Daphnia pulex: one gene and its partners. The protein of the gene in region 1 binds, or shares a complex with, the protein of each later gene. Links are inferred from orthologs where the notes say so. Each region holds a gene or a part of one and is shown in the gene's direction. Other genes may lie near its edges.

Region 1 (10,014 bases):
ATCTTGCGAGTCTTGTTATATAGTCGACGACCGGCAGTATAATTGGACGGCGAGGACAATGCGCCGAGCTGCTGATGTCGCTCCTCCTTGTCGGCCTTCGTTCATCCGGAGAGATCCAGCAGCACCCAAAGTGCTGCTGTCTAGTAGTGATGTGGGCGGGCAATGAAAAGAAGAATATGGATTTGTGTCTGACGATGAGCCTCTTACATTCACAGCCATTTTTGATTATTATTTAAAAAAGAAGCTCTAGTCTCTTTTCGTCACCATTCGTGATCGACGCGTTGGGTGCGTGCGGCCGTGATGCCGACTCGTAATGTCCACTCGACCAGCGGCCGAGTTTCCAATGTTCCGCACAATAGAAAAAGCGATGCGTGAACGAATGTGTGTAAAGACGATCCCTGCATCTTCAATGCAACATTTCTCTCTCTCAATTCTCTTTCATGTCTGGTAGACTGCGTGAATAGGCGTGAACGCTGCGTTAGCCGCACGTGAGCAGACGACAAAGAATGCCGATCGAGAGGCGAAAGTTATCGACGTTTCAATCAGGTCACGGTCGGCAAAGTTTTTCGGCAGTCGAACACCCAACAAAACGGCCATTCAGACGTATAGAGGCCCCAATGGCCCCCATACGGACATGGGAAACTGTTGGCCTACTGACACCGAACACACCCCCTCATATACAAATAAAATATAAGGCTATACCAGGTCAAATGCGTCATAAAAATCTATGGGAATACATCACGAAAGTAGCCCAAGCACAACGGTATATATACACACCATCACGTAGGCTCTTGTATTGTCCATTCGATGAATAGACAATATAATTGCAGTCTGGATAGATATTTCCCTTTTTTCGTTTTCCAAATTCAACGAGTGGAGAAGCGCAAGATGAAGACAATCATTTCCGATTTCTCCAACTTGAGGTTTTATTTCTTTTCTTCTATAGTCTAAAGAAGCTTCTCTCTCTCGAGTGTTCTCCAACGGTGAAAAGCTCTTTAAAAGACGACGACGATTGGATATTATCGCTCGATCGGAGGGAAAAAAAGGCCCAGGATTCCTTTATCTCTCGTCGATGTGAACAATATAAATTTCCGTCGAATAAAATTCGAAATTTATTTAACATCTCCTTTTAACTAGGAAACCTTTTTTTGTTTTGTTTTGTTTTTTGTTAGCTGGAAGAAGTCGAATTCTTGTTGTTGTTGTGGTGATTCTGACAGCTTTGTGTGTAACCAGCGGGTGGGTCCATAGCGTGACCCGAAAACTTTTTCTATGGTGATCTCCCGCGTCTCTGCTGGCCGCCTCCTACGAGGGGGCCCTGTCGTTTTCTCCTTCTTATCGTGAATGTATTATCATCATCCCGTGTGTAGTTAGTATGTATAGCATTTAAAGGGTTAGACGTGGAGAGGGCAACTCGATCCATCACCACTTTTCAACCGTTTTCAACACATTTCCGCGTTCCCCCCCGGTACCCTACCACATTAGACGGGCGCAGTTCTTCATGAAAAAGTGTGCGGCAGGGTAAAGGCACACACGAGCCCTTATATGTAAAAAAAAATTGCGTTTGCGCTGGGCGACCGCGGTCGTTGATGAATTTAATGAGAACTCACGAAACACGCACAGGGTTACCAAGCTCGCCACAGGTATAAATTTCAAAGGTTATAGGTGTATTATTGTATATACGGTACCGGGGTAGGTTTACATTTTTACACAAACGGGCGTGTTTCCAGCCTCGCATTCCAGCTGAAACACGCATAAGGCACAAATTCGGTGGTTAGACGCATGCATTTTGAACTTTTGACGTGTGGTTGTTTGGAAACAATACGCGCAAACATTTAACATGCGGAGGGATGAATAGCCTCTTCCATCTTGTGGGTGTCAGACGGGCCGAGAATAATAAGGGGGAAATCATAATAAGTTTGGGTCAAGAATACAAATGAACCGGAAAATTCTGTCAATGGAGTATACCTGTCATATAATAGTTACCGCGGCTATTGTTCCAACATTTTCTTAACTAACATTTTAAACTTTTTTTGTTTTTTCTATTGTTGGACGTCACGGACAGAAATGGCTATGCTGTTACCGGCTTCGTTTGGTGCCAGCCGCCGGATGAACGACAGCCACGACATCCGCAAGAATCTGCGCTTCCGCAACGCTGAGCTCGCCCAGGAGCACCCGGAAGGTTCCACCAACGAGTGAGGATACATACCTATAAACAATCAAGCCACAAAATTTAAGAAATTTTCGACACCAATGATTGCTCTTCAATTGGACGTTGAAAATTGGCGCATACATGTTGCAATAACACTTCCGTCTTTATTCAGTTACTGCGTGACATTCGAGCTGACCAAAGTGTCCAAGGCCTGCCACAAAGAGAAAGTGTTCAACTCTCTTACTGACGGTAATTGACTTCCGGAATAATAATATCCGGATGGAAATATCATTTTTCAAAAATTGTGTTTTGATACATTTATTTTATTTTATTCCTTTTCGTGGTTTAGGCGGCGTCGTCTGTGTTCGATGTGAACACAAGGCTACTCGTGACTATTTGGGAGGCCGTTGCGGTGGTCACGGAGTGCCGGGTAGAATTACACGCTGGACATCGCTGACCAACGTCGAGTGCCATGGCAAATGGCTCAGACGTCCGGATGAATCTCACGAGGTTTCCAGCTCGACTTGTTCGTGCGACGAGGACGCTCTGTTAATTTTCGTTTAGGTCTCAACACAAGAGACGCAAACTATAAGGAAACGAACAAGGAAGAAGATCAATTTTAAACAAAATCTCCTTAAATTTGTTATGCTACCACATTAATTATTTCTATTTTTTTTTCTTTGTCTTTCGAATCATTCTTTTTTTTTACCTAAAATATTCGATCTGAGGGTGGTTTAATTAAAAAAAACGCGAATGAAACGAGCGAAAGCTAGAACAAAAAAATTAACTGTCGACCCACCCATCGAGTTTAATGCGAGTGTGAAAATACACAGAAAGGGAAATTTCCATAGAACCAATTTATTCACTTAATCTTTTGTTTGCTGTCAGCTGCCTAGTCTATAGTGGAGTCTAGCAATTATTATGCATTGTTGACTTTCATATCGCTTAGGCTTAGCCGTCTTCTTTGAATGGTTCCTCTTAATTATCTTATCTCGAATCATTTTGAGGCTTTTATGAAGGTCGATCCTGGCCCCCTAGTGGCTGAACGTCCAACGACCAATATTTCATCATTTAATTTGGCCAATGAAATTCTTGATGATGTGATCGTTGGATGTTATTTTTCGTACATAAAATTTTTTTTTAAATGGTAGAACAATTCAATAATCGTTATAAAAAGACAAAAAGTTTAAAAGTTTAAGTCGAGCGGTTGAAGCTTGAAGGGTAAGCAGACGACGTTCAAGACAGTGTGCCAAAACAACAAGTCGGTTTATTAGTCGTTTGGCGTTCTATTCCATAAACTGAAAAAAGTTTGCTCGATTTTAATTTGTGTATTTCACAGAGAACTTTGATACTGTTTTTCTTCATCAAAGCGTGAAAACTATCTGAAAATGGGAAAACGACAACACCAGAAAGATAAAATGCAAGTTCTAAGATATTTCAATTTGAATGATATGTTTAGTATGAAAACACTAACTAGTTTACTATCTTATATTTAGGTACTTGACAAGTACAGAGTGGAGCACATTGTATGGTGGGAAGAAGCCTGTTAATCCAAATAGTGCCAGTGCTTCATTTCGACGACTTCCATATGATCACTGTGCCTTGTCACTTCAGCTTTTTGAGAATCCTTTGTGTGACACTGAAGGAAATGTTTTCGACCTTCTTGCTATAGTTCCATACTTGAAAAAGTATAAAACTAATCCAGTAACAGGAAAAGTAAGTTTTGCTTATGGGTATTGCATGTTTGCTTCATCCGATAAACTTGAACTAGAAAGGCATGTTTATGAGAATTTAATTTTTCTAGCCATTGGAAAGCAAAGCCCTTCTGAGGTTAAATTATCATAAAAATGCTGAAGGGGCATACCATTGCCCTGTATTGTTCAAGCAGTTCACAGACAAATCCCACATTGTGGCCATCAGAACTACTGGAAATGTGTTCTCCTATGAGGCAGTAGAGCAACTCAATCTGAAGCCCAAAAACTGGAAAGAGTTGTTAACAGATGAAACATTTGCTCGTCAAGACATTATCACTCTTCAAGACCCATCTCACCTAGAAAAGTTTAACATCGCTAAATTTTATCATGTAACGCATGACCAAAAAATCGAAAATGAAGGTAATTTGTTGTCTTATTGATTATAGACTTAACAACGCCAATTGATTTGCTTTCATAAATATGATTCTCTCTACTAGAATTAATAAGGGCCAAAACCGATCCTGCAGCCCGTCTCAAATACATCAATGCAGAAACGAAGGGAGTTTTGGCAGAATTAGAACAGGAATACAAGGCACCTGAAGAGACTGTAACTGTAAAAGCAGTAGCTGATTCCATTAATGCGGTAATTTGATTCAGTTAAAGTTTTAAATTTATCCCTTTTATTTATTATTATTTTCGTTTTTATAACTTGTTTATAAAACAAAAAAAAACTATCAGGCTCATTATTCCACCGGGGCTGTCGCTGCTGGTTTTACTTCTACGGTGATGGCACCAGAAACTAAGCATGAACCAGCAATTCTCGATGAAAGTATCGTTCGATATCAGCGCATTAAGAAAAAAGGTTAAAGTAGTTTCTTGTAATGAATTCTTCACAAACCATCTAAATTTGTTTTTATTTCATCAATTTAATTTCTTAGGTTATGTTAGACTAGTTACAAATGTCGGGCCTCTTAATTTAGAGTTACATTGTGAAATGGTACCTAAAACGTGTGAAAATTTCGTCAACCTGTGCAAAAAAGGCTACTACAACAACACCAAGTTTCATCGGTCTATCAAGCATTTCATGGTACTGTAGATCTCAACGTGATCACGGGCTGTTACAGAGATTTCCTAACAAAAATTTTCCAGATTCAAGGTGGCGATCCCACTGGAACTGGTACCGGAGGAGAGTCTTGCTGGGGAGGATCATTTGAAGATGAATTTAAGCCGAATCTATCCCACACCGGTCGGGGTATTTTATCGATGGCGAACTCGGGAACCAACACTAATAAATCTCAGTTGTACGTTTAAATTATCTAGTTCTATGCATACATTACGCATCAATTTGATTATTACTCTTTCAGTTTTATCACCTATCGCTCGTGTAAACATCTGGACGGAAAGCACACAATATTCGGTCGTGTCGTGGGTGGAATGGAAACTTTGAGCGCTATGGAACGAATTGGTACTGACAATAAAGATCGACCCGTAGAAGAGATTATTATTGAGTCGTCACAGATATTTACAGACCCATATGCCGAAGTAGACGAAAAGGTTGCCGAGAAAATCAATTCAACCTTAGAAGCAAAATTTACTTTTGTTTTTACATTTTAGTTGGTGATTGAGAGAGCCGCAGCGCTAGAAGAAGCTGAGAGACAGTTGAAGGAAGCAAAGGCTTCCATCCCTAAAGCCCAGCTTAAGGTTTTCAAACAATCTGGTGTAGGAAAATACATCAACCCTAAAGCTTTCACCAACAAGTATATCTTTAATTTTCTATTAAATAAAATAGTTTCATTGCAGCTTATTATTATTTTTTTTTATAGACCAGCTGATTCGGCTGGAGAAGAATCCGGCAGTTCTCAACATAAAAAAGCTAAAACATCTGCTAACTATTCATTTGGTAATTTCAGTAATTGGTGACCTTCCCGGATATTGGATTATTCTTTGCTTACTTGTGGCTGATTTTTTAAAAATAAACTCTTTCTCGAACACTTGTTCTTATCAAATTGTATGTCATTTTTTTTACTCAATAATTCTGTAGCAATTAAAAATAAAAATCGAAAAAGGGGAAGGAAGGGTTCACAATTTTACTGACTTTTTTTTATATGCGACGGCAACGCAGCATTGTCCTCTCGTCTGCCAAAACGACACACGATGGATGACAAACCGGTAAGCAAACCACATTTATGATAAATAATAATTTGTTAAATTACGCGTTCAATAATCAATGTCTTTTGGTGATTTGTTTTCTAGTTAGCGAAAGCGCTGAAAGATTTACCCTTGAGGGTACAATCAGCCAGCTATCTCGAACGTTTTCAAGTATTTAAAGCACTAAACGATGCCTTCTCGGACACGACTTCTGGTAAATAAATAACTCTTTTACCGAGATATCTAAAGCTAGACTTGAGTAAATTGCTCTTTTAACAATCCAATACAATTGTTCTGCTGTCAGATTCCTTCCCAAGTGGCATTCTTTAGAGGAAATTTTAAAACATGTTTACGAGTTCTCGAGATGTAGTCCATAAAGCAGTTTTTTGCCAAAATGTTTCGGTTATTAATCTGGTAATACATTTGTTTTCTTGGGTTATTTTTAGATGTCAGTGAGGGTGTTATTAAAGGAGTGTGTAGAGTTTTGGTCTTTACACTACCAAGATACCACAAGAGTTCCTCAAGAAAATTGGTTCAAGATTTCTTGCTTGTTCTACTAAAGCACCACAATGCACCAACAGTACAACATCTTTCCGCCACTTTGGCTGCATATTCTACAGCCTACAGGAATGTTGCGTCATCGTAAGTAGCAAACATTGAAATTATTTGTATTACCTTGTTTATTGAATTTTTTCTGTTTAGGGAAACACTGGCAAAAGAACTGCTTGCTGCTTTTGACTGGTCAAGTAAATTGCTGGTCCATGGATTCAAAGATGCCTCAAATTGTACAGGTGTTGCTTTCCAAAAGTTAGTTGAAGCCCAATCTTGTTTGTACACCAGTATTTTGGCTTCAAAATCCAAGAAGATGTCTGAAAAAGCAAATCACAGGTGTGAATTAAAAGACTGTTTGAGAAATCTAAAAATTATAGTGAATGGATTCTTTTTCTTTAGACTGGTGCAAGGATGGAAACAAATTCCTGGATCAGAAGCCCAATATTGGGCAGCTTTGTGTGAACTTGAGACGTCTTTCCAGTCTTTGGTGTTCAGCTGTGCTCTTCTGACCTTCGTTCAAGCTAACAAGAATGCTGAGCTATTGCAATCAATGAGACGCTCGTTGTTGGATTCCTTCATCAAGATCGCCATCACCACTAAAGTTAAGCCAGATGTCTACTTTGTGGAGCAGTGCAAGCCGTTTTTGAAACTACTTACACACGAAGATTTCAAAAGTCTACTTCTTCCTGCTTTGCTGAAAGGCATGCTTCGTAGCCCGGAAATTATCCTAGGATGCGTCGGCCAAGTGCTTGCCTCCGTCTCTATTGATTTGAGCGCATATGCCGCTGATTTGGCCAAACCTATAGTCACTTGCCTTCACTCCAAAGAGGACATTACCCGAGCGGAAGCATCAATTGCCACCGAGGCCTTGGCCAAGCAATGCAGCGAGGCAGCAGCGGTTCGCGGACTCTTAAATCTTTACTTTGGCGTCCTGCAGGGTTCCGAGGGAAAGTTGACCCTTGCCTCGCACAAGATCTCCATCCTCGAAGGGATCGGCCACTTGAGCAAACACTGTGCCACCGGCGCCAGCACTCACCAATTGAGCTGCGACGCTGCAGAACACTTTGTTAAAATTCTGGACACGGAAGTTCACGAAGGGACCTTAACTCAAGCTCTTTCGGCTCTTTTGCTATGGACGAATCGTTTCGCAGCCACAATCCCAAAGTCGCTGATGGAAATGTTCAAGAAAGGAATGGGATTGAAGACGTCAACACCTGGAATCAGAACGGGATACATACGTTGCATGGCAGCATCTTTGCACGGGGAAAGCTTGCCTCAAGGCATTGAATTGATTCCTGTTCTCTTGAAATCATTGGAACGAGCAACTGCTCAGCCAACGCAAGCAGCTATCGTCTCGGAGGGTCTGACTGCCGCTACTTTGTTGCTACGATGCGCCAATTTAGATGTGAAGGTAAATCAAATAATTCATAATTTATTTATTAAATTATTTTTATTCAAATTTATTTATAAATCAATAAATATTTATCATAATTCATTTGAATTAAAATGCAGTTCTAATGTTGACGCTTAATTATTTCAGGCGGAAACTCAGTGCGGTCCTTTATGGAGCATTCTTTCAGATGGGGACAAATTATTATTTGTTAATGAGAAAATGTTATCCTCGTTCAGCGAAGAGATATGGCACGAAGTGGTCTTACTCTGCGAATCGCTCTTCGTCAACCACGAACAACGGATCGGTGATAAAACGGCGCCTTACTACCGTGCGATGGTTCTCGCACTTACTCGACCAAATTTCTCCCTTCGTACTCGAGCTGCTGCCGCTGTCAAGAAGATTTTTCATCCCACCAGCGGGTCCAGCATCGATCGTTCTCTAGCCTTAGTTGCAGAGTTTACCAACTATTTGCACACCGTGAAAGTTACCAGCGGTATTCGAAATCGTGAGGAAGGCGAGTCGGCTGGAGGAGTTCTTTCTGCCTCGCTGACCGAGACGGACGCCAATTCGCTGATTTTCTGCCTGCAGACAATCACCACCGTGAAGGGGCTATCCCAAGACAAGTACAATCGATTGGCTGTAGCCTGTTTCAAAGCCGCTCACCACCCGGCCATCGCCGCTATTCAGCCCCTTTGCTGGTACTACATCGTCAAGCATTTTGGTCAGGTCCCCAAAACCCTCGTGACCCGGTGTTATGCACAGCTGAAGGAAGAATTGATCAAAAATCACAAGCCGGGAGCTTGGCCGGAAGCATCCCTTTCTGGACTCATGAAATTAGCTCCCGAAGAGACAATCAAGGACGTGCTAGACGCAGTCAGCGCCACCCTGGGCCAAGAAGAATTGCTCAAAGTGACGCGCGACGATTACTTCACTTTTTTAACGAGAGAAGGCGAACTGTACGACAGGAGCGTCCTGGAAAACGCGAAAGAGGAAGCCGCTCGGAATATCAAGCGAGAATCAAAAGCCTATTCGTACAAAGAGCAAATGGAAGAGCTGCAGCTCATCCGGGAACTGGAAGAGAAACGGATACGAGAGGGTAAAAAGAAGGGGCCCGAAATGTCGCCCAAACAGAAGGAGGCCATTCGCGTCCAGTTGGAGAAGGAGAGCGCCATCAGAAGCAAAGTTGCGGCCTTGGATGTCGTCGTCCGACAGGTGTGTTCCATGCTGAAATCGGCCATCGACAACGTGCCCAGTGTGCTGTCGAATCAGCTGACGCAGCTCGTTCCCTGGATGATGCGAGCCATGAGCTCTCCCGTAGCAGCTCCACTGCTGACACCACTCTGGGTCGACTTGAGGAAATCCGTCTTTGAACCCGACATGGAACTATTAGCCAAGAGCATTGCCAACGTCACTCTACGCCTCTCCAAGCCCATGTGCGATCTGGATCCGGCCTGGGAAACTGAATCGATTGACGATGCCTCGCGACGAGTTCTCAAGCAGGTCATTCGTGCCTCCGCTACTCCGCTGAACGCCTCTACATTCACCTACACGTTTCCATTTGTACGCGGGACGTTGAAACTTCTCGGATCCAAGGAGGAAGCTTTGGCTGTCCAGGGCATCCAGTTGATTGAGCGACATGCTGGTCTGAGATCGGTCGGCAAGCACGGCCAATCTTATCCGCAAAACAATCCCCGCCTACTTCCACTGAAGGAGATGATGGAGCTGCTGATTCATTTGATTGGAACCACTTCCGGCAGAGAACAACAGACAGCCTATGCGGCATTGCTGGAAGTAGCAGCGGCCGCCACTGGGAAAGCCGGTTGTGCCGTGGCCACCGACGAGGAACTCAATTGTCTGCTGGATAGTCTGGAGAGTAGCGTAGACTCTGTCCGAGACGCCTGTCTTCACAGCTTGAGCGTCTTGCTGCCCGTCCTGACACGTAATCGAGTCAAAACGTTCACCAATCATCTGAACCACAGACTGTGGGTGGCGAAATTCGACGTGGTTCCCGAGATTCGCGAGAAGGGCGAACAACTCTGGGCCGCTGCTCAGCTACAGCCGGTCAAAAACATGTTCGA
Region 2 (9,906 bases), about 4.9 Mb from region 1:
CTTAATCTTGTTTAATTTCTATTCCTACAACTATTTCTTTGTCTAGCAAAAACTGAGAAAGTTAATTTCGTCAGCACAGCAGCACCCAGTGACCCAGAAGGAAGGGATTGTTTTGATATCAAAACAATTCAACCTTCCTGCAGTAAACTGAAGCCTGACAAGATTCATTTAAGAGGCTGATGGAAACAGAAATATTGTGTTAGAGACTTCTGTACCAAATCCATATGGAATTCACCTTTACAACCTACTTGAATAAGACGTTGAACAGAAGAACCTCATCTAGTCTCGTCATCACTCTCATCTGTGTTGGTAATTTAATGATCAAATTTATAAGTGACAACACTTCTGTAACCAGATCCCTTCCCTCAGGCTGCAGAGCTAAAGTTGGAATGTCTGTTGTTCAATCTCCAACGTGAAAGACCAGTCATTGGAGATTCTTTGAATTCAGACAATGTTCGAGTCAGAACTCATAGATATCCTTTACCAGCAGCACTACTACAGATTATTGCAACGAAACAAAAGGCTGAAACAACTAAACAGATAATCTATTCATATTTCTTTTATCTTATTCAAATTGCTCATTCTTTTAAGTGTTTGTGAAATCAGGTGGACAGGCACAGGCTCCAGAATTATGTCTCACATGATATAATTGACTGGGCTTGCAACTTACATCAAACACTTCAAATTCATACTTTGGTTTATATTACTTTTAATTGAAACTTTCGTGTAATTTTAAAAGATGATGTATAGAATAAATTGTGTATCGAATCAAAACTGTCTTCACATATCCTTTATTCTCTTGCCTAAAAGCTCGGTCCTCCATACAAACACGGCAAGTTAATTAACTCATGCATGCTGCCTACAGCTATACAATCATGCTACAATCGTTGCTTTCAATTAGGCTCATAACAATCCTACTATTACCATAACAAATATAACATGAAGCTATAAAATATGTGTAGATTCCATCATAAGTTTTATTTTCGTGGATGTACTGTCCAACACTCAAATTTCCCACCATTAAAAATGGCCTTCAGCTGCTAGAAGCTGATTGGGCGTTTCATTTTTGTTATTTTCTATAATAAATATAACGAATATAATTGATAATTATGCATCACTAGATGCACCGATTCATGAAGATTCTTAAAATCTAATTATTTTGCTTAAAACGTAAAGATAAATGCCCGTACGAGCATGCCAAAGTTTCGTGGTTTTGACTCATCTTCCCTTCCCCCAAATTTTATCAAAAATTTAAAAATTTAACTGCGACTTAATTATGAGTCGAAAGTTGGTAAATCTTACAGAAATGGATAGCTCTTGTCGAGATCTATCGATTTCTGTAAAATTTAAAGTGAAAAAATCCAACACAAAAAAATTTTGAAAGGGTTTCTACTTTTTCGTTTTTTCGGATAGGTCGAGTATTGCGCCGAACCGCAAAAACGAAAAAGTAGAAACTCTTTTGAAAATTTTTCGTGTTGAATTTGTTCATTTCAAATTTTACAGAAATGGATAGATCTTGACGAGAGCTATCCATTTCTGTAAGATTTATTAAGTTTCGACGTATAATTAGGTCGCAATTAATGTTTTAAATTTTTGATAAAATTTAGGGGAAGGGAAGATGAGTCAAAACAACGAAACTTTGGCATGCTCGTACGGGCATTTATCTTTACCATTTAAGCAAAATAATTAGATTTTAAGAATCGTCGTGAACTAGTGCATCTACTGATGCATCATTATCAATTATACCTGTTATAAAAATTATAGAAATATCAATTTAATAAACGCCCAATCAGCTTCTAGCAGCTGAAGGCCATTTTTAATGGTGGGAGATTTGAATGTTGGACATCACATACATGAAAAGAAACTAATACGGTGGAATCCATACACATATTTCTTATATAGCTTGATAAGATATTCGTTATGGTAAACGGTATGCTTATTTTTATGAGCCTATATTAAAGAAACGATTGTAGAGTCGGAGGCATGCGTTAATTCATTTATCGTGTTTGTATATATGGATGTATGGATGTCCGAGCTTTTAGACGCGAAAATATAGCAATATAATTCAATACACAATTTATTCAACATCTTTTGAAAATTTACATGAAATGAAAGTTTAAATTGAAAGTAGGCCTAATGAAATCAAAGTATTCGAAGTGCTTGGTATGCCTTGCCATTCAATCCTTTCAGCCCAATCAATGAGCAATAATTCTGAGGCCGGTCCACCTGAATCAGAATCACAAATAGTTTAAACAATGCATCATTAGAGTAAGATAAAAAGAAATACGATTAGATTCCCTTTAGTTGTTTCAGCCTTTTGTTTCGTTGCAATAATCTGTAGTAGTGCTGCTGGTAAAGGATATCTATGAGTTCTGACTCGAACATTGTCTGAATTCAAAGAATCTCCAATGACTGGTCTTTCACGTTGGAGATTGAACAACAGACATTCCAACTTTAGCTCTGCAGCCTGAGGGAAGGGATCTGGTTACAGAAGTGTTGTCACTTATAAATTTGATCATTAAATTACCAACACAGATGAGAGTGATGACGAGACTAGATGAGGTTCTTCTGTTCAACGTCTTATTCAAGCAGGTTGTAAAGGTGAATTCCATATGGATTTGGTACAGAAGTCTCTAACACAATATTTCTGTTTCCATCAGCCTCTTAAATGAATCTTGTCAGGCTTCAGTTTACTGCAGGAAGGTTGAATTGTTTTGATATCAAAACAATCCCTTCCTTCTGGGTCACTGGGTGCTGCTGTGCTGACGAAATTAACTTTCTCAGTTTTTGCTAGACAAAGAAATAGTTGTAGGAATAGAAATTAAACAAGATTAAGATTAGAAATTTAAATTCTTTCCTCAACAATAGTTAATAACTTAGAAGCTCTGTGAGAATCAAATCGTTGGCTACAAATAAGCTGTCAAATTTTTAACAACAAACCTGTTTCACTCCTTTTGCATCTCTCAACAGATCACTTAATTCTTGTCCGACGACATTTTGTTTGTTTTGCTTTTCAATAACACAATTAAAATCGGTTAATATTCTAATAAGCAAATAGTTATTTGTTTACTAAAAACGTGATATGGAAACGGAAACGAAGCCGTTCAAATAATGGAAAGGTTTCGGCTTCTTATTATAAAAAACAAGTTGATAATAAACTGAAACGAATCTGTGAACGGAAACGGGTCCGCTCACTGATTTGAAAAACGCGTTGATTTGTCAAAAATCGGTTAACTGAAACGAATCCGATTATGAATCAGCTAGAGGCGCTAGAGGGTAGGCATAACGTTATTGCCTTCATGCGACTCTAGCGTAAGAGAACGGAAACCAATCCGTTCTACAACCCTCAAAAAATCCGTTTTTTAACGACACGGAATCGGATCAGTATCAGTTCACTGGTGAAGACTGTGTTGTTTGACCGCTAGGCTTGACTCCACAAGTTAGTCTGCTTCGTTTGCCGTGGAAGATCTTGTAGCTTTTTTGCTTGTCCGGCAAGTTCAGACGGACTCAACGTTATTAATGCCTTGTTTACAAATTCGTTTCTAATAAACATTTAAAAATGAGTTTAGAAACGTGGGTTAGCGATCAGTTAATCGAGATATTGGACTTCAGTGACCGCTATACTTCTCAGTTTTTGACATCCCTGGCTCATAAAAGTTCTTCAGTGAATGAACTTATCGAAAAAGTTCGTTTCACAGACACTATCGATGTGACAAATGCAAAAGTGATGAGTTTTCTATCAGAGTTATGGGGAAAGATTCCGAGAGCTGCCCCTAAAGTAAATGTTGAAAGAATTGCCGCCAAGCAACAAGAACAAGCCATGTTAGCAATGATCGAAAAAAACAAGAGATATAAGCTGATAGAAGACAGCGATGAAGAAGGAATGGCACCACCTCCACCACCAGTAAATAAAAAGATCAAGAAGGAAAAGAAGAAGTCTGATTCAAGCAGTGAAGATGAAGATGAAAAACAACGAGTCAAAGATTTGAAGGAAAGAGATGAGTTCTCTGAACGTCTTAAACTCAAAGATAAAGATAAACAGAGGAATGTGGTTACTGTGGGAAAAGGTATATTTACTATTTAATATTTGTAATAACTATTAAAATAAAATGTTTAAATTATCTAGGTTTTGCTGAAGCTGCAAAGAGGCTTCAAATGGAGGCTGAAGACAAAGCCAGCGTTATTCCCAAACTCAGAGTGGAATCACGTCGAAAATATTTGGAGAAGCGAAAAGGAGACAAGATTAATGAATTGGAAGCAGATATTTTCGACGATGAGTACTTGTTCGATGAGCAACAACTCACGGAGCGTGAACGAAAGGATCGCGAATACAAGAAAAAAATTCTCAGTCTTGCGAAAGAACATGACAAAGCACGAGAATTGGAATTGGTTCAACGATACCATATGCCCGATGATAAGCGGGACAAAGCAATGCCTGATAGGTACGTCGAGATAGATGACCGTGAAAAGCAACCTCATTCCGAACAAAAAGTTTGGGAAGATGCTCGCATGGCCACTGCTCAGTGGAATTTCGGTGCCAGAGATGCAAAACAGCGTCTTCAGGAGAAGGGAAAAGTTCATGATTATGACCTCTTATTGGATGACACCATTGACTTTATCCAAACAAACCAACTTGCAGGAACCAAGGGTATCGAAGGTAAAGTAACACACCTAAAACCTTCTGAATAAATGTTTAATAATCTTATCCCTCCACCTTTTTTTTTCGTTTTAACTATATTAGAACAACCTGAGGTAAGCGACATCCAGAAAAAGAAAATGTCTCTTCAGGATACGAGGAAATCGCTTCCAATATTTCCGTTTCGCGAAGACTTACTCCAAGCCGTCGAAGACCATCAGATCCTGATCGTGGAAGGAGAGACTGGATCAGGAAAAACGACGCAAATTCCCCAGTATCTGTACGAAGCGGGATACTGTAAAGATGGCAAGAAAGTCGGTTGTACCCAACCACGTCGAGTTGCAGCCATGAGTGTTGCTGCTCGTGTCGCCCAGGTAGAATTCAATCAAGAATTGTAATCTTGACAAGGATCTTATTTTGTGCGATTCCGTTTACAGGAAATGGGCAAGAAACTCGGTAACGAAGTAGGCTACAGCATTCGATTTGAAGATTGCACGTCAGAGAGGACTGTTATCAAGTACATGACTGACGGTATGTTGCTGCGTGAATTTCTCTCTGAGCCCGATTTGCAGAGCTATAGTGTCATGATTATTGACGAAGCCCACGAGCGAACACTCCATACCGATATTCTTTTTGGGCTGATCAAGGTGAGCCGTCCTTACACAACAACTCTTAAATTGTTGAATAATTTCCTATAAATTCTTTCAGGATATTGCACGGTTTCGACCTGACCTGAAGCTGCTAATTTCCAGTGCTACATTGGACGCTGAAAAGTTTTCCGATTTCTTCGACGAAGCTCCTATATTTAGGATTCCCGGTCGAAGATTCCCAGTCGAAATTTTTTACACCAAAGCTCCTGAGGCTGATTATATCGATGCTTGCGTTGTCACTATTCTACAGATTCACGTCACACAAGACTCGGGTGACATTCTTGTCTTTCTTACTGGTCAAGAAGAAATTGAAACGGCACTGGAGAGTCTGACGGAACGTACTCGAAGATTGGGCACCAGGATCAAAGAGTTGCTTATTCTTCCTATCTACGCAAATTTACCGTCAGACATGCAGGTTCGTTTTTGCTTATTCAAAGTTTATCCTTTTCATATCTTTTCATTTTCTCTTGCCAGGCAAAAATTTTCGAGCCAACGCCTCCCGGAGCACGGAAATGCATTCTGGCTACGAATATCGCAGAAACGTCTTTGACTATTGACAACATTATCTTCGTCATTGACCCAGGCTTTTGCAAGCAAAATTCCTATAATGCCCGAACTGGCATGGAATCCCTTGTTGTCGTTCCTATTTCGAAAGCGTCGGCGAATCAACGAGCTGGACGTGCTGGACGTGTAGCAGCTGGCAAATGTTTCCGCCTATACACAGCATGGGCCTACAAGCACGAGCTTGAAGAGAACACTGTGCCAGAAATTCAGCGAGTTAATTTAGGCAACGTCGTTCTGCTTCTCAAATCACTTGGAATCAACGATTTGATTCACTTCGACTTTTTGGATCCGCCTCCGCACGAGACTTTGGCTTTGGCACTGGAACAACTCTACGCTCTAGGAGCCCTGAACCACATGGGCGAATTGACCAAGCTGGGCAGGCGGATGGCTGAATTCCCCGTTGATCCTATGATGGCGAAAATGCTCCTGGCATCCGAAAAGTACAAATGTTCGGAAGAGATCGTCACCATTGCAGCCATGCTCTCAGTCAACAGTGCAGTCTTCTATCGACCCAAAGATAAAGCAATCCATGCCGACACGGCTCGAAAGAATTTCTTTTCACCGGGTGGCGACCATTTTACCTTACTCAACGTTTACAACCAATGGGTTGACACGGATTTCTCGACGCAATGGTGCTTTGAAAACTTCATCCAGCATCGATCAATGAGACGCGCAAGGGACGTCAGAGAACAGCTTGTCGGCCTTGTGGAACGAGTTGAAATTGACATGGTTTCTAATAAAGAAGATTTAGTGGCTATCGGCAAGGCAGTTACGGCTGGATTCTTCTACAACACATCGCGCCTGTCCAAGACGGGCGGATACAAGACAGTCAAACACAATCAAACTGTGCTCATCCACCCAAACAGCTCAATGTTTGAGGAACTTCCTCGTTGGCTCATCTATCACGAACTTGTATTTACTACTAAAGAGTACATGAGGCAAGTTATTCAGATTGAGAACAGTTGGCTTCTGGAAGTGGCTCCGCACTACTACAAAGCCAAGGACCTGGAAGACACAACTACTCGCAAGATGCCTAAAAATAAGGGCAAATCACGGGCGGAGTTGGGTGACCATTGAAATTGACCACACCACTGAAATGAATCTTGAAAAAAAAAAATCCGTGATGCATCATTTTTTAGTGATAACATGCATATTGAAAAGGTGCGTGCCCATCACCTTCAGGTTTTATCAGTGTTATTTGCCATCTTGTGATCTTTTGGGGCCGATAAATATACAGTCTTTTTTTCTATTTCTTTTCCAAAATGTTTACGGTTTGGTTTTTTTTCCGCATCTCTAATTCATATTAAATGTTTGTGATCTAAGGTAAATCGGATTTTATTTATTTTTTTTTTTTTTACTAATTTTGGCAAAGTCTGTAAAACATCCCACGTACAAAACACAATTTACTAAAGTTCTCCTGTCCTGACGCATCTAGCTTCTAGGTAGAGCGACTGTATGCATCTGACAAGTGATAAAGATAACCAGCAACAGCTCAAGTCATGTCAAAGCTAGGGGTAACTTTTTAAAGTTCCCAAAACCCGAAGCCAACTCAGTTGAGCGTAAATTAAGTGTAGTTAGTAGCATTATTAAAAATGAGTGATCCGGGTGTTTTTGAGCGAGACGAAACCGTAATTACTTTTGTAAGTAATCTACCCTTAAATTACATTAGAAGTTTGGGGGGAGGTGACCTAAATCTGACGTATATATAAGTGCGCAAGATACGCGCAGAGCAAACAACTTACAGTGACAAGGGCACCTTCATGAGGTAAAGATTTTTAGGCACTACCATGAAGGACGTTCAAGATTGAATACATTATACGTTCCTACGCTCGAGTCTCGACACCGAGTCGCAGACTCTATAGAGTATAGTACCGTAGCTTCCCGATTGGTTCTTGGAATCCATTTTCGAGAGTCTTATTATTCAGCAGTGATTGAGTGAAGCACCGAACACGCTTTCCAACTCATGAGGTGATGGTCTAGTTCAGATACAAACGGTCAGCAGCAAAGGAAATTCCTTCGTCCATGTCTTTATTGGATTCGTGGCATAATCTATTGGAGCCGACCGAAAAAGAAAAAAAAAAGGTTTCTTTTTCAATCGGAAAGTAGGGCACCCATTTTAGTGTTAAAAGGATGTCTTTTCCCAAAAGTTTTGAATAAAATAATTGCTAGCCTTTGTATTTAACGTCTAAATTACACGAAACATATAACGTCATTATTCTTTCATTTGAAAAAAAGAGTCACAGAGATTTGGGTGGGCTTTTCTCACGAGTAATAGTCGCGGTTGACAACCAGTTCTGATGAATAACCCGGCAAGATATTTAGAAACAAAGGTGTTATTACCAGGAGGCGGATTATTATTATTATATAAAGACATTTCTTGTATAGAATTAAACATAAGGTCTTTTGCTTCTCGAGTCAATGACAGGGTTGAATCAGAAGAGTGTGTCACTGCTCCAATAAATATTTGGGATTATTGTGTCTGTTGGATTTGGACTGGGAAATCGAATTTGTCTGAAAATGAATCCCTCGCAGCATCCCTCCGCTCCCCCCTCGAGGAATAAAGATGAATAAGGTGTGTGTGGGGGGGTTTTGCTGCAATGTTTCCGAGTCGTTGCATTATTTTTATCACGAGGCCAAAAAGTCTGATGGTATTGTGAAAGAATGAATAAAGATGGTGGGTGGTCTGGAATACTGCCATAAATGACGAGTGTTATACAACAGGCCGCTGTCCTGGCTTGTTCTTTTCGTGAAAAAGAATAAAATAATACAACACAGCGTCGTGATCAACATTTTGCCCTTGAAAAAAACAAAAACGAAAAATTCCAACTACTCCGGGGTATTTCATAAAAACTTAATTACGACTGTTTGTGTGAATTTTAAAGTGTTTCTGTGGATGTTACGCACATGTCCATAAAAGGAACAGGATTTCATTTGCCATTAGCGAAAACTCGTCCTATACATGCACTATCTCATTATTTATTATATACGCTCCAAAAACATCCCATCAATGGTTGAATGAGACGATTTTATTTGCCTGCGCTAATAAGGCGATATATCGTTCTGCAGCCCATGTCTATACAGTTTGGGTGCTCTTATCTTTTATTTCTCGATCTCTTCACAGTTCACATGAAAAAGGAAATTCGTCGTCATTTGGATGAGATGTTGCTGGTGAGAGACGCGAAGACAAAATAATAATAACCCGCACCGATATGTATATATATACTGCGCTATATTGCTCCACTAGCTCGCTATCTCACCATAATTGAGGGTTTCTAACGTCAAGACTGCGCTAAAAAGCACCTAACTTTGTTTTGTTTTTGTGTGTGTGTGTTTTTTACGATTCCAACCAATAAAGAATCAGCGTGGAAATAAATTTCGGGTGAAAAAGGCGGAAACTCCGAAAAAAGACGCCAGTTTTTTTTTTTCTTTTTGCAGATAATTATTTTGTTCTCCTACATAATCTCCATTTGGAGGGAAAAGATATATGGTTTTTTCACGTTGAAATGGCCTGGGCCAGTCTAGTTATCTAGCGCTAGGTGGCCTTTGGTGTGTATTTCAATTGATGACATTTTATTACGAGGAAAAAGGGGATTATCACGCGGCCAGCGCTGATGCGGTTCTCGGTCCCACCGCCCGTCTGACACCATTCACGGTCAAACCCTCTTTTGAAAAAGAAAAAAGAGGCAGACATTTTGAGTGTTGACCCCAGCTTATATAGTGGACGTTGTTACGTGCGAGAGTGTTGATACCTCATCACATAAAAAAAAGAAAAGAAATGACCGCGGTATTTTATTTTTTTAAAAGCTCGTACAACCTCATCTGGTGGGACGACGGCCATCGTAAGGGAGGAGGAGGATATCATTCGATTTTCCCGAACGGAAAAAAAAACGACCAAAGGAGATGAGAATAGCTGGGGACGATGTATGGAGAGGAGGAACCCCATTTTCGATGCGCAAATGGGATATGTTCTGCGTGGAAATGACGGGGTAGTAACTTGAACTGCGCGGGTTGGCCGTCACTGCTGACACGATTCAAATCAAATGAGATTATCGAAGG
Region 3 (9,890 bases), on another chromosome or scaffold:
AAACTGAAATCAGATAGTTACATAATAATTAAGTATTTGTCGGTTGTTCAGTCACCAATCGATCACCATAAATGTGCAGGAAATCTAAAATGACACCGTTCGTCCAACCAAAGCCAAGCTGAACGTCGTATTCACCACCACCTGCACATCAAAAATTGATAAATTAATAAGGGTATTGAATAAAATTAATTGTGTTGTTCAACTAACCTCCTGGTAGTCCAACAACAGTCACGTCATACTAAACAACCAATGGAAAGGAATTTGTTAAAAAATTGAACCGTTTAAATTAAATCAGAGACTATCTTGGACGTACTTTTTCAAACATGGCGTTGGGCATACTTTGTTGATATGCATCGTAATTGTTAATCAGCCACTTTTGGGCGAGATTAAAGGCCAAGGCTTTGGCTCTGGGGTCACCGGTATTTTCAAGACCGACAACCAACATGTGTTGCAGGGGCGGCCACCCATTAGGGAAATCCCATCTGAAAAACAAGGCAAATATTTGTTTAGGCTTCAGTAGATAAACCGTAGGGTCAATAAGACACTTACTGTTGGCCAGTGTGTTGCATGGATGTCGGAATTCCTCCGGCAAATCTAAAAAGAAAAAATCGAAAAGTCGAGAAAAACGTGAACAAACACATCGATAATAATCAACATCATCATTATTACTTTGTAGATTGACTGTGCTCCAGATAATCCATCACTCTGTGGACAACAGCAGAGTCTACGCCACCGGATGGAGTGGCATCCAAGCAACCGGCCCATAGCGGAGCGATATTCGATGCGTAGAAATATGGTCGTTGCAAATTATTAGTTAAATCGTAGTCTAGCCAGATGCCTTGTTCTTCATTCCACAGCACCTAGAAAAAAGAATCAAAAGTTAATTAATCAATTTAATTGGGTTAAAAATGAATTATTCTAACCGCTTGAATGGCTCTTTTCCACTCGATGTACTTGTCGTGATACATTTGAGCCTTTCTGTCATCTCCGACTTTGCGGAACATTTCCGAAAGCATTCGAGCGTTCATGCAAACAAAGGCATTTAAATCGACCGGCACGACGTTGCGGGTACTAATGTGGCTCAAATTGCCTTCGTTGTGACCTTCGTCTACAATGAACCACCTGGAACTGAAATCCCAACCGGATTCAGCTCCCGATTTCATGTTGATGTAAAAGTCTTGACGATCGATTTCACTCATGTGGGCAGACGAATGAAAGTCCTCACTGGGAATTGATAGAAAAATGTGTTTAACCTCTATTAAAAACGAATTAAATCAAGGAATTCTTACATGTAAGATTCGGGTCGTGGTCCATCCGATTCGACATTAAACCTCGCCAAAGTGTGTCCCTTGACGGAGACTGTCCTGTTGGCCATCCAGAATTGAAATTCCTTTTCCAAGAGATGTAACCGCCCATTAAGAAATTCGACATCCCCAGTGGCGTTGATGTAACGATCCACCATGGGAATCAACATTGGGGGCTGCGACCTCAGCTGATAGTAGATGCGACCGCCATTTGGGACCATGCCGTAAACATCCACCATATGCAGGAAATTATCCAACATTCCCCTCACCTAATAGACAAAATAATCAAAAGTTTTGTCAATATTGATTTAAACTTTTAGAGAAAATTATTTAGACCCAACCGTGTGGTTCATTTGAGAGATGAGAAGACCTTGGACGATCCAGTAAGAATCCCAGTAATAAATTTCACGAAATCTTCCTCCAGGAATGATGAAAGGATGAGGCACATAAATCATCGAGTATAGCTCGGGGCGTTCTTTGACGTCATCTGTTATATAAGAATTACGACAAATGTGTCATTTAAAAAAATGGAAAACTTGTAATAAAATTTGCATTGTACCTTTAATTTGTCGGCCTAGGAATTTCCAGGCTCCATGTAATTCTTTCCCCCAATTTCTCAATTGTGTGTTGTTGATATTTTGAAGGAATGACGGGCTGTCGAGCCAGTCGGAAGGATCCCACGGTTGAAATTCTGATCCTTCACTCTCGAAATGTTGACTGATGAAGATGACGAGATCGTTTTGGGATGGACTATTGTCTGTAAGGTTCATCAGTTGAGTGAAATTGGCTGCAACTAATTCTGGGTCGAAACGTAATTTCTTGTCGACAAAAGTCTTGGAGTCGTGATACAATTTGGCCATCTGAACCGTGTGCAAGAGTGGACCGTGACAGTAAATGGGACTATTGAGAGAAACACGAAAAGATTAATCATTGCCAACACACACAGAAATAGATGAAATTTACCTTGGACATGGCGGAGGAAGAGATTGAACTTGGGCAAGTCCAAAAGTGGCAGAAGAGATGAACAAGCAGAAAAGACGTACGAGTCGCACCATTGTTCAGAATGCACTGGCGAAAAAGGCAAACAAGTCGAACGCAGTTCCTCGGTTTGGCGGACGACAGTCGATGACCTTGACCGTAAAAGACCTCTTTTTTTCACCGTTTTAAATCGAAGGGGGGTTAACAAACGTCAATGACCCTTTTAATTGAGAAAAGAAAGGGTAAATCGACGCCCTTCTTCTTTTTTTACTACCTGTTGTATACGGGGACTTTTTTTAACGCTTGGAGGTAACTTTTAAAACATTTAAATTGCCGGCCTTCTGAATTTGGTAAAAGATTTGAAATGTCGTCGTCGTAATGGAAAATTACAGACTAGAAAGATCGTCTCTTGGGGTTATTCTACTACTAATACAACCTCGAATGGTTGTCCTTTTATAGGGCCAGTGGCTACATGGAGACCTTGAACGAAATGAAATCAATCTTTTTTTAAAAATAAACTACTATTTGGGAAAACAGCCAATCTATTCCAAGTTAAGCAACAAATTGTCGAGTAACCTTAACCCTATTTTTCCTAGAAATGGGAGCAAGACACTTGGTACAAATAAATTTCAGGTCAGGATAAATGTGTTTTGTAATAACATACGGTTGGAATTATGTCACAGCACTGTGTTAGTAGTACCATAGAGGAAGGAGTGAATGACGAAATCAAACCCAACACTCTATGGCAGTACGTAGTTGTTTTGGAATGAACAAATATCGTCGATGCTCGTAAATGCGTAAATATTTTTGTTCTAGAGTTTTATTTTGTCGTCTGCTTGACTCGTCCGATGCAGACATCTAGCGAGTGTCTGGTAGATTACACCGAAGGTTACGATTGGTCAATTTCGGAACCAGCCTACAAAAAAATCAAGGCCCCGGTCGTTCGATTTTATTAAATAAATATACTTGATTGTGTCACATGATTATGTCACTTCAATGGTCTACGTGCATCAGTATCAATATATAGTGACCTCAATTCTTTGATGAAGCCTTACAACTTTGTCAATATGATGCGAGCATCTCCATTGCGTGACGCTACAGGCAGTTACAAAATGAGCCCATGATATCATCTTCTCATCTTCGTGCTCCATTTCCTTTTAATTACGTACTCGGTTACATTTTAATCAAAGTCAAGTAGGCACTAGAGGCAACCGCGGCTGTGGCCTGGCGGCATCAGCGTCAGGCAGGATGAAATCAAATCAGTTGCAGTTGCCTAGTAACATAATTGAATTTTTCCTTCAGACAATTTAATTAAAACGACGAAACATCGCCTTCGCCTAGCGAATTAATTAGATATTTTAATTACACGAAAATTATGCAGAAGCTACGCGTAGTTATAATACCACCGCAGAATGCACGGCAGTTGTCTGATTTGATTTTTCAATGTTCGTCTGCTTGCGTCTCCCCACCTTTTTTGTTGTTTCCATAAAGACATCTTCTGAGCGAAAAGGAAATCCTTGATATTAACGTATTCGTGTGTCATTATGTCGGAAACCAAGCCTGGTGTGTCTTTTGCCTTTAGTTCAAAAAAGAAACATGATAACGTGAAATTAACTCAGTCGAAACTATTGGATACGACTCAAGAAACTCGCGAAGAGACTGATTTCGTCAAAACTGTCGAGCACAACAAAATCAATGGGTATGTTGCTTTTCCCGCCACAAAATATTAATTTTACATTCATTTTCTGCATTATTCTATTTAGATCCATCAAAAAAGCACCCAAAAAGGAACTGGTTATTCCTCTTATAACAAAGAATCGGTGGAGGACCCCTGGCAGTGATACCAAAACCGAGAACACAGAAGCATCAGACTTGGACAAGCAAGCCGAAAAAGAAATCCTGCAAGAAACACTGAAGGCTGTTGATGGCTGGGAGAACAGAGGCAATGGCGTACCCTCCAACATTGATATCCCCCTATTTATGCAAAATCGTGTTCCATCTGGCTTTGAAACAGATGAAAAAGTAGATGTTTCCCTCCGTGCAGATCAGGTACTGAATTTCGCAACTGCACCTTAATTATGTAATTAACTCTTGACATTTCTCTCTAGTCCACACTTGATGATTATGAAGCGATCCCAGTGGAAGCCTATGGAATGGCCATGTTGAGAGGAATGGGTTGGAAAGCCTCAGAGGGTATCGGTCTCTCTAGAAAAGGGTATCATTGCCATATTTCACATTAATTAATGGTTCTGAATTCTCATCAAATTATCTTTTATTCAATCAAGAGTGGCTGCTCCCATGGAGGTGAAACTTAGGCCTAAAGGACTTGGTCTTGGGGCTGACCGTACTGTTTTAGAAAATGCAGCTAAAGCTTTAACAAAGCCAAAAGAAGGCGAAGAAGAGCTCAAAGTGATTATCGGTGCAAATGTACAGTTGCTCAGCGGGAAACATCAAGGTTTATATGGACAAGTAAGTAAAAATTCTATTAAAATCTGCCATTAAATTATAACTAAATTTGTTTCATCAGGTTCTTAGCATGGACGCAAACACTGGTCGTGCTCTGGTGCGGATGGCTGTCGGAAGCAACGAATTGGAAATGAGCGAGCTCTTTCTGAAACCAGTTTCTGCTAAAGAATATCGTGATTCCGCCAGGATTCTGAGTAAATTAAATCTATTTCAAGCCAAATTTCTTCTTGAAATTAATCATCTTTCTTTTAATTCTCAGACAAGGAAAAATACGACGAGTACAAAACGAAACAGGACAAGGAGCGAAACGAGAAGGAAAGAAATGATCGCGAGAGCAGAAAGAAACGGAAGCATAGTCCTAGCCATCGTAAGTAGTGATAGATTGTCCTGTCTAGCTCCTCCTACCCAAGGTCACGCTTTCCTACATTTATCATTGGCGTTCTCGTGCCAGCCGCCCAGCCCGTACCGTCAGAATTTCCCGTTGTTAATTAATCAGTTTGTAATGAAATTCCACTATAATAATTTTTTCCTTTTATTTTAAAAAAGGTAGTCGTCGGAGTGGCAGTCGGGAGCGCCGTGATGAGAAGAAAGAATCTCGTTCTAAAAATCGGTCGTCGAAAGGTTCTGACGAGAAACGAGAACCTTGGCTTCACCCACTCTTGCGAGTCCGCTGCGTCGATTCTTCATTCAAGGACGGCCAATTCTACAAACAGAAAGTAAATAAAAATGTCCTAAAAATAAAAGATGAATTTCTCTCACGCCGATTGGTATGAATTCCAGATGGTTGTGGTGGACGTGATTTCCAAGAATCATTGCATTTGCAAAGCCGAAAACGGGAAACTTTTGGAAAACGTCAACATTTCTAAATTGGAAACTGTCATTCCGCGTAGCGATCCCGCTTACGTCATGGTCGTCAAGGGCAAACGAAAAGGACAGGTTGTTAGCTGAAATTTACACACATGTTGTTTTTGTTAACTTGTTTATTTTTTAATAAAAAGGTCTGCCAAGTGATTGAAAGGGACAAGGAACGATACACGGCCACCGTCCAGATTCTACCGGATCGCGATGAAGTTTTCCAACTAGACTACGACGACATTTGCGAATACACGGGAGATGTGCGCAACTTGTAATCACAAAATAACTCGACTTGGTTTTTAAATAAAAACAAATGTGCTATTCGTGTTTAATTTCATAACGATTTTCACCCTTTTTGTCTTCATTGTTGCACCTCTCACATAATTTGCTACGTGACCCAGACAGCTGTGGCAATCTCTCATTATGCAAATGTTTGCCGAAAGCTCTCTCTCTTATCATTTTAATGATACGTTACGCTAATGCAAATTTTTCAAGTGGAAAAAGAGATGAGAAAGTACAAGGCGCGCCAGTCAGTCTGGCAAGAACTTTGTGTGTTTTCAATGGGATTTATTAAAGTATACACCGGCATCGTAAAAATACACGAGCTATAGGGGGAATACGGTAATGGTACACACCTTTCACGTGCGTGTTCCCCTTTATTTTTGCATCGATATTTTTCGGTACAGAGTACACTGAACCCACACAGCGTAGCTCAATCAATTCACGAGAAAAGCGTATAGGCTACCACCCTACGGGGGACAGTGGGGGGGCTTTTTTTCGCTCGGTCATTTCTCATGACTCCCGCCGAAGTCCGAACGAACGAACGAACGATGAAGGTCTGCTGTGTGCAGACTACGTAACAGCTCAGTAACAGGGCCGCTCTTCAGTTGTTTCCTTACTCTCGCAGCTGATTGGTCGTTGCCTTGTTACTGCGAGACTTATCACGCCATACAACAACAAAAAAACATATAACGCTAAGCTACATATACCCCTTTCGCTTGTCGTCGTGCTCGTGGTCACTGTGTCAATTCTCTATACATGTTATTCCCATTTAATAATATTTTCAACTCGAGGTTTTGATCGGGGAAATCTATACGCACTCGCTTCAGTTGGATGGAAATGCTATCTGGTGATCGCTCGTAAGAACTCTTGTTGCTATATAGACTTATTATTGCCAACATATGTCTTCTTTCTGCGTCGAACACGTTTCTCAACTTGTCCAACTCCTCTTGACAGGTGTGGGTCATGATTCTCGCTACTCATTCTAAGATGGCTGAAGAAATTGAAGAGTGGAGCAGCAGGTTACGTTTCACAGGTGCATGTCAGACGGGAAATGAAACCCCAAATGAACTTGATCTTTCTCACAATCTGGACGAGTCTTCTGACCTGCCCTTCGAAGGCATCAAGCAGAAACGCAGGATGTTGGAGAAGAGAGTTTCTTTCCCTTCTGACGAGACCCAGTTGGTCCAGAACCTAGAGCCCACAGTTCCTGACGTTCCAGGTATATTGAGGCTTTTATGTATTGTAACTTTCCAGATAATAAATTTGTTTAAAATTATTTCAGAATGTATCCTTACCGAAGAAGAAAGTGATATCAACATTGTTGCTGCATACACCTCTTCGTGCAAGAAGAACGAGGCTGAACCTGTTGAGCACATTATTGAGCAGTTAAAGGTCATTGGGTACAAACCCATAAAATGGGGAAAAATATATGCTAATTTATTCCCTTTTTGGAAGTTAGACTTTGGACTTGAGTCGTCCACGCTCGGCCAGCCTCACGTTGCGAGGACGCAACTTGAATTCCCATGACTGTGAATCGTTGGAGGATGTTTTGAAAAATGTTCCTCTGAAACTCTTGGATATTGGAGATGCCCACTCCAGTGATGATGTAAGTCCCGTCACATGGCCTGAAAAATGTTTAATTCATATGCTGTAATATTCTCCCATCATCAGGGTCTGATTGCATTGTTCGACATGATCGAATTTTACGAAGCAGCCACCCATGTGAGCATCGCCTCCAACAAGAACATGACCAGCAGGGGCTGGCAAGCGTGCTGTCGCATGATCAAAAGGGTGTGGTTATTGTTTTTCCTGTGCAATCTTTTTTAACCCATGACTCACGTTTGTTATTGTGTCGTACATATAGACCGAGTGTTTGGAATGGCTGGACGCAGCTCAAGTTGGGCTATCGGAACACAGCTCAACTTTACTGGCCAGGGCACTGAGATCCAACTCTCGCCTAAGGGTTTTGTACTTGAACGATTGTGGTCTCACCGGAAGGTCGCTTGCCATCATCGGTATTGTTTACTAAAATTTTTAAATATAAACCAACAAAACACAATAACAAGTTGTTGTTACTCAACAGCAAGTTCATTGAAAATGAACCGGAATCTTCGTGAGCTGCACCTGGCCGAAAACAAATTAACGCCTTTCGACGCCTTACAGCTTGGTATTTTGTTGACTGGAAATTCGTCACTTCAGCACGTAGACTTGAGGTGAATCAAATTTAATTAAACAACAAAATTTTGATAATAATTTTGGGGTTTTATATTAGGAACAACGAAATTTTAGATAAAGGAATGGGTTACATTTGCGATGCTCTGTTGGATAATGTTGGACTGATCTCGCTTGTCGTCTGGAACAACGGTATCACTCACGAATCGTCTCCCGCTCTCGCCAAAGTTTTGGTACATTTTAAATTACAACATTAAACAACTTTCACGATAATTAAACAGCTTTATTATTTTTAAACAGGCAACTAACCAGACTCTGCAAACACTTAATTTGGGTCATAATAAATTAGGCGACGAAGGAATTATTGGACTCATTCCATCTGGATTGGAGCGCAACCGTTGGCTTTTGCATTTGGGACTCCAGGAGAACGGACTGACGTGCCCAGGGATCATTTCGCTGTCCGAATCGTTGGCTACTGGAACGCAATTGAAACGGGTTGATTTGCGTAAAAACCAGATCGCACTGGCAGGATTGATGGCCCTGGCTGCTGCTCTCAAACATTGTCCGACCATCAACCAACTGGACTTGGATCCCATCGATCCTCCTCCTTCTACTACCTCCGGCCACCATCAAAATGCTGCCGAGTATCAGCGTCTGATTGAAGAGATCGCCACTTGCTGCACATCTCACGAGACTGAAGCCAACGACAGTGACACTCTGTCCAGCCTGCCCAGTGATCTCAACAAGCGGTCCAGCAACAATAAAGAAGCCAATGCTGATGAGGTCATGTCTCGCAAAATCTCGCTCACTTGTCTGGTCCCGCCGAGCGATAAGCAGCTGCTCCTCCCATTGAATAACAAAGAAGATGATCAACAGCCCAGGCGGAAACTTCGCAGTCCATTGCCCAGCCCTTCGCCCAGTCCGTCACCCAGTCCACTGCCTTCACCCAGCGGAGGAAGATTTAAGGTGACATTCTACTGTGCTAATTTAATTAAAAATTATTCAAAGTTTATTTATCAATTTGTCCAGGTAACTCGAGTGGATGCACCGAGTCAATCGCCTTTACCTTCCCCACGCTCCCGTTTCACCGTCACTCCAGTGGCTGTGACAACTCCCGAAATTGAACTGCCAGACACGGGTGACTCTGCTCCTGCTCCTGGTGGAGTGCACTCATCCAATAACAATGCCGATAGCACCAAGGAAGATGCTTCAACTGCCACCGATTACACCAGTCTCATTCGTAGTTCTCCCAGCAAAGTTATCGTCGGTTTTGACGTTTTAACCACCTGAGCTCCACCCTCTCTCATTGCAAAACAATACCGGTTCCCCATTCTTCTTTTATTATCACACACGTACATGGTCCATCTGTTGACACACAGATTTATATTCTATACATATACTTAAACAAATTATATTTTGGAGGACAGACAACAACAACAACAACAGTACCAAAACAAAATAACCCGGTGGTTTATTTTTCGATACCTTTTCTTTTTTTTCCCGATATCCATTTCCGCCATTCAACCTAACCCCCCCGAGTTGTTGACCAAAAAATTATGAATCCCTTCCTCTTCTTGTTATACATCATCCATTGTAGCAGCCAGTGCGTCGCTCTTCCCCCTTGTTGTTGTTGACGGATAAAAATCTGTTGTTTTTTCACGGGACGCACTTTTTTCAAACATTCTATTATTATTATATCCATTTCTTTTCCTTTTTCAAATTGCTGTTGGTCATTTTTCCGTCTTTGAAAGATTCACACACATTTAAAAAACAACCAAAATCTACTATGCATTTTTCTCCGTTTGAGGAATATGGTTTTGATGTCCGAGTCCA

What was found.
Region 2: RING-type E3 ubiquitin-protein ligase PPIL2-like (region 1) and pre-mRNA-splicing factor ATP-dependent RNA helicase DHX16-like share a complex: the UniProt entries of both Homo sapiens proteins name them as parts of the minor spliceosome. The link is inferred for Daphnia pulex from reciprocal best matches to the Homo sapiens genes PPIL2 and DHX16.
Region 3: RING-type E3 ubiquitin-protein ligase PPIL2-like (region 1) and G-patch domain and KOW motifs-containing protein-like share a complex: the UniProt entries of both Homo sapiens proteins name them as parts of the minor spliceosome. The link is inferred for Daphnia pulex from reciprocal best matches to the Homo sapiens genes PPIL2 and GPKOW.

What each region holds. Positions count from the first base shown.
Region 1 is NC_060022.1:779,635-789,648, forward strand, and holds RING-type E3 ubiquitin-protein ligase PPIL2-like, read left to right. Parts: upstream 1-3,355; 5' UTR 3,356-3,537; coding exon 3,538-3,569; intron 3,570-3,645; coding exon 3,646-3,865; intron 3,866-3,953; coding exon 3,954-4,263; intron 4,264-4,340; coding exon 4,341-4,486; intron 4,487-4,581; coding exon 4,582-4,705; intron 4,706-4,781; coding exon 4,782-4,930; intron 4,931-4,992; coding exon 4,993-5,144; intron 5,145-5,207; coding exon 5,208-5,397; intron 5,398-5,457; coding exon 5,458-5,600; intron 5,601-5,666; coding exon 5,667-5,763; 3' UTR 5,764-5,834; downstream 5,835-10,014. Other genes in the region: somatomedin-B and thrombospondin type-1 domain-containing protein-like, read left to right, coding at 2,063-2,192, 2,322-2,398, 2,499-2,713; eIF-2-alpha kinase activator GCN1-like, read left to right, coding at 5,998-6,012, 6,097-6,205, 6,438-6,633, 6,694-6,879, 6,943-7,954, 8,084-10,014. UniProt on the Homo sapiens protein: Has a ubiquitin-protein ligase activity acting as an E3 ubiquitin protein ligase or as an ubiquitin-ubiquitin ligase promoting elongation of ubiquitin chains on substrates.
Region 2 is NC_060022.1:5,688,435-5,698,340, reverse strand, and holds pre-mRNA-splicing factor ATP-dependent RNA helicase DHX16-like, read left to right. Parts: upstream 1-3,409; 5' UTR 3,410-3,559; coding exon 3,560-4,067; intron 4,068-4,126; coding exon 4,127-4,657; intron 4,658-4,741; coding exon 4,742-5,010; intron 5,011-5,073; coding exon 5,074-5,283; intron 5,284-5,344; coding exon 5,345-5,701; intron 5,702-5,760; coding exon 5,761-6,927; 3' UTR 6,928-7,099; downstream 7,100-9,906. UniProt on the Homo sapiens protein: Required for pre-mRNA splicing as a component of the spliceosome. Contributes to pre-mRNA splicing after spliceosome formation and prior to the first transesterification reaction.
Region 3 is NC_060019.1:133,877-143,766, reverse strand, and holds G-patch domain and KOW motifs-containing protein-like, read left to right. Parts: upstream 1-3,729; 5' UTR 3,730-3,826; coding exon 3,827-3,981; intron 3,982-4,045; coding exon 4,046-4,331; intron 4,332-4,390; coding exon 4,391-4,497; intron 4,498-4,567; coding exon 4,568-4,751; intron 4,752-4,809; coding exon 4,810-4,942; intron 4,943-5,007; coding exon 5,008-5,115; intron 5,116-5,294; coding exon 5,295-5,464; intron 5,465-5,528; coding exon 5,529-5,684; intron 5,685-5,746; coding exon 5,747-5,878; 3' UTR 5,879-5,936; downstream 5,937-9,890. Other genes in the region: trehalase-like, read right to left, coding at 29-141, 208-238, 314-482, 550-594, 670-860, 924-1,224, 1,290-1,573, 1,646-1,791 and 2 more; protein phosphatase 1 regulatory subunit 37-like, read left to right, coding at 6,849-7,104, 7,168-7,277, 7,345-7,491, 7,557-7,676, 7,750-7,900, 7,969-8,098, 8,158-8,290, 8,358-9,023 and 1 more. UniProt on the Homo sapiens protein: RNA-binding protein involved in pre-mRNA splicing. As a component of the minor spliceosome, involved in the splicing of U12-type introns in pre-mRNAs.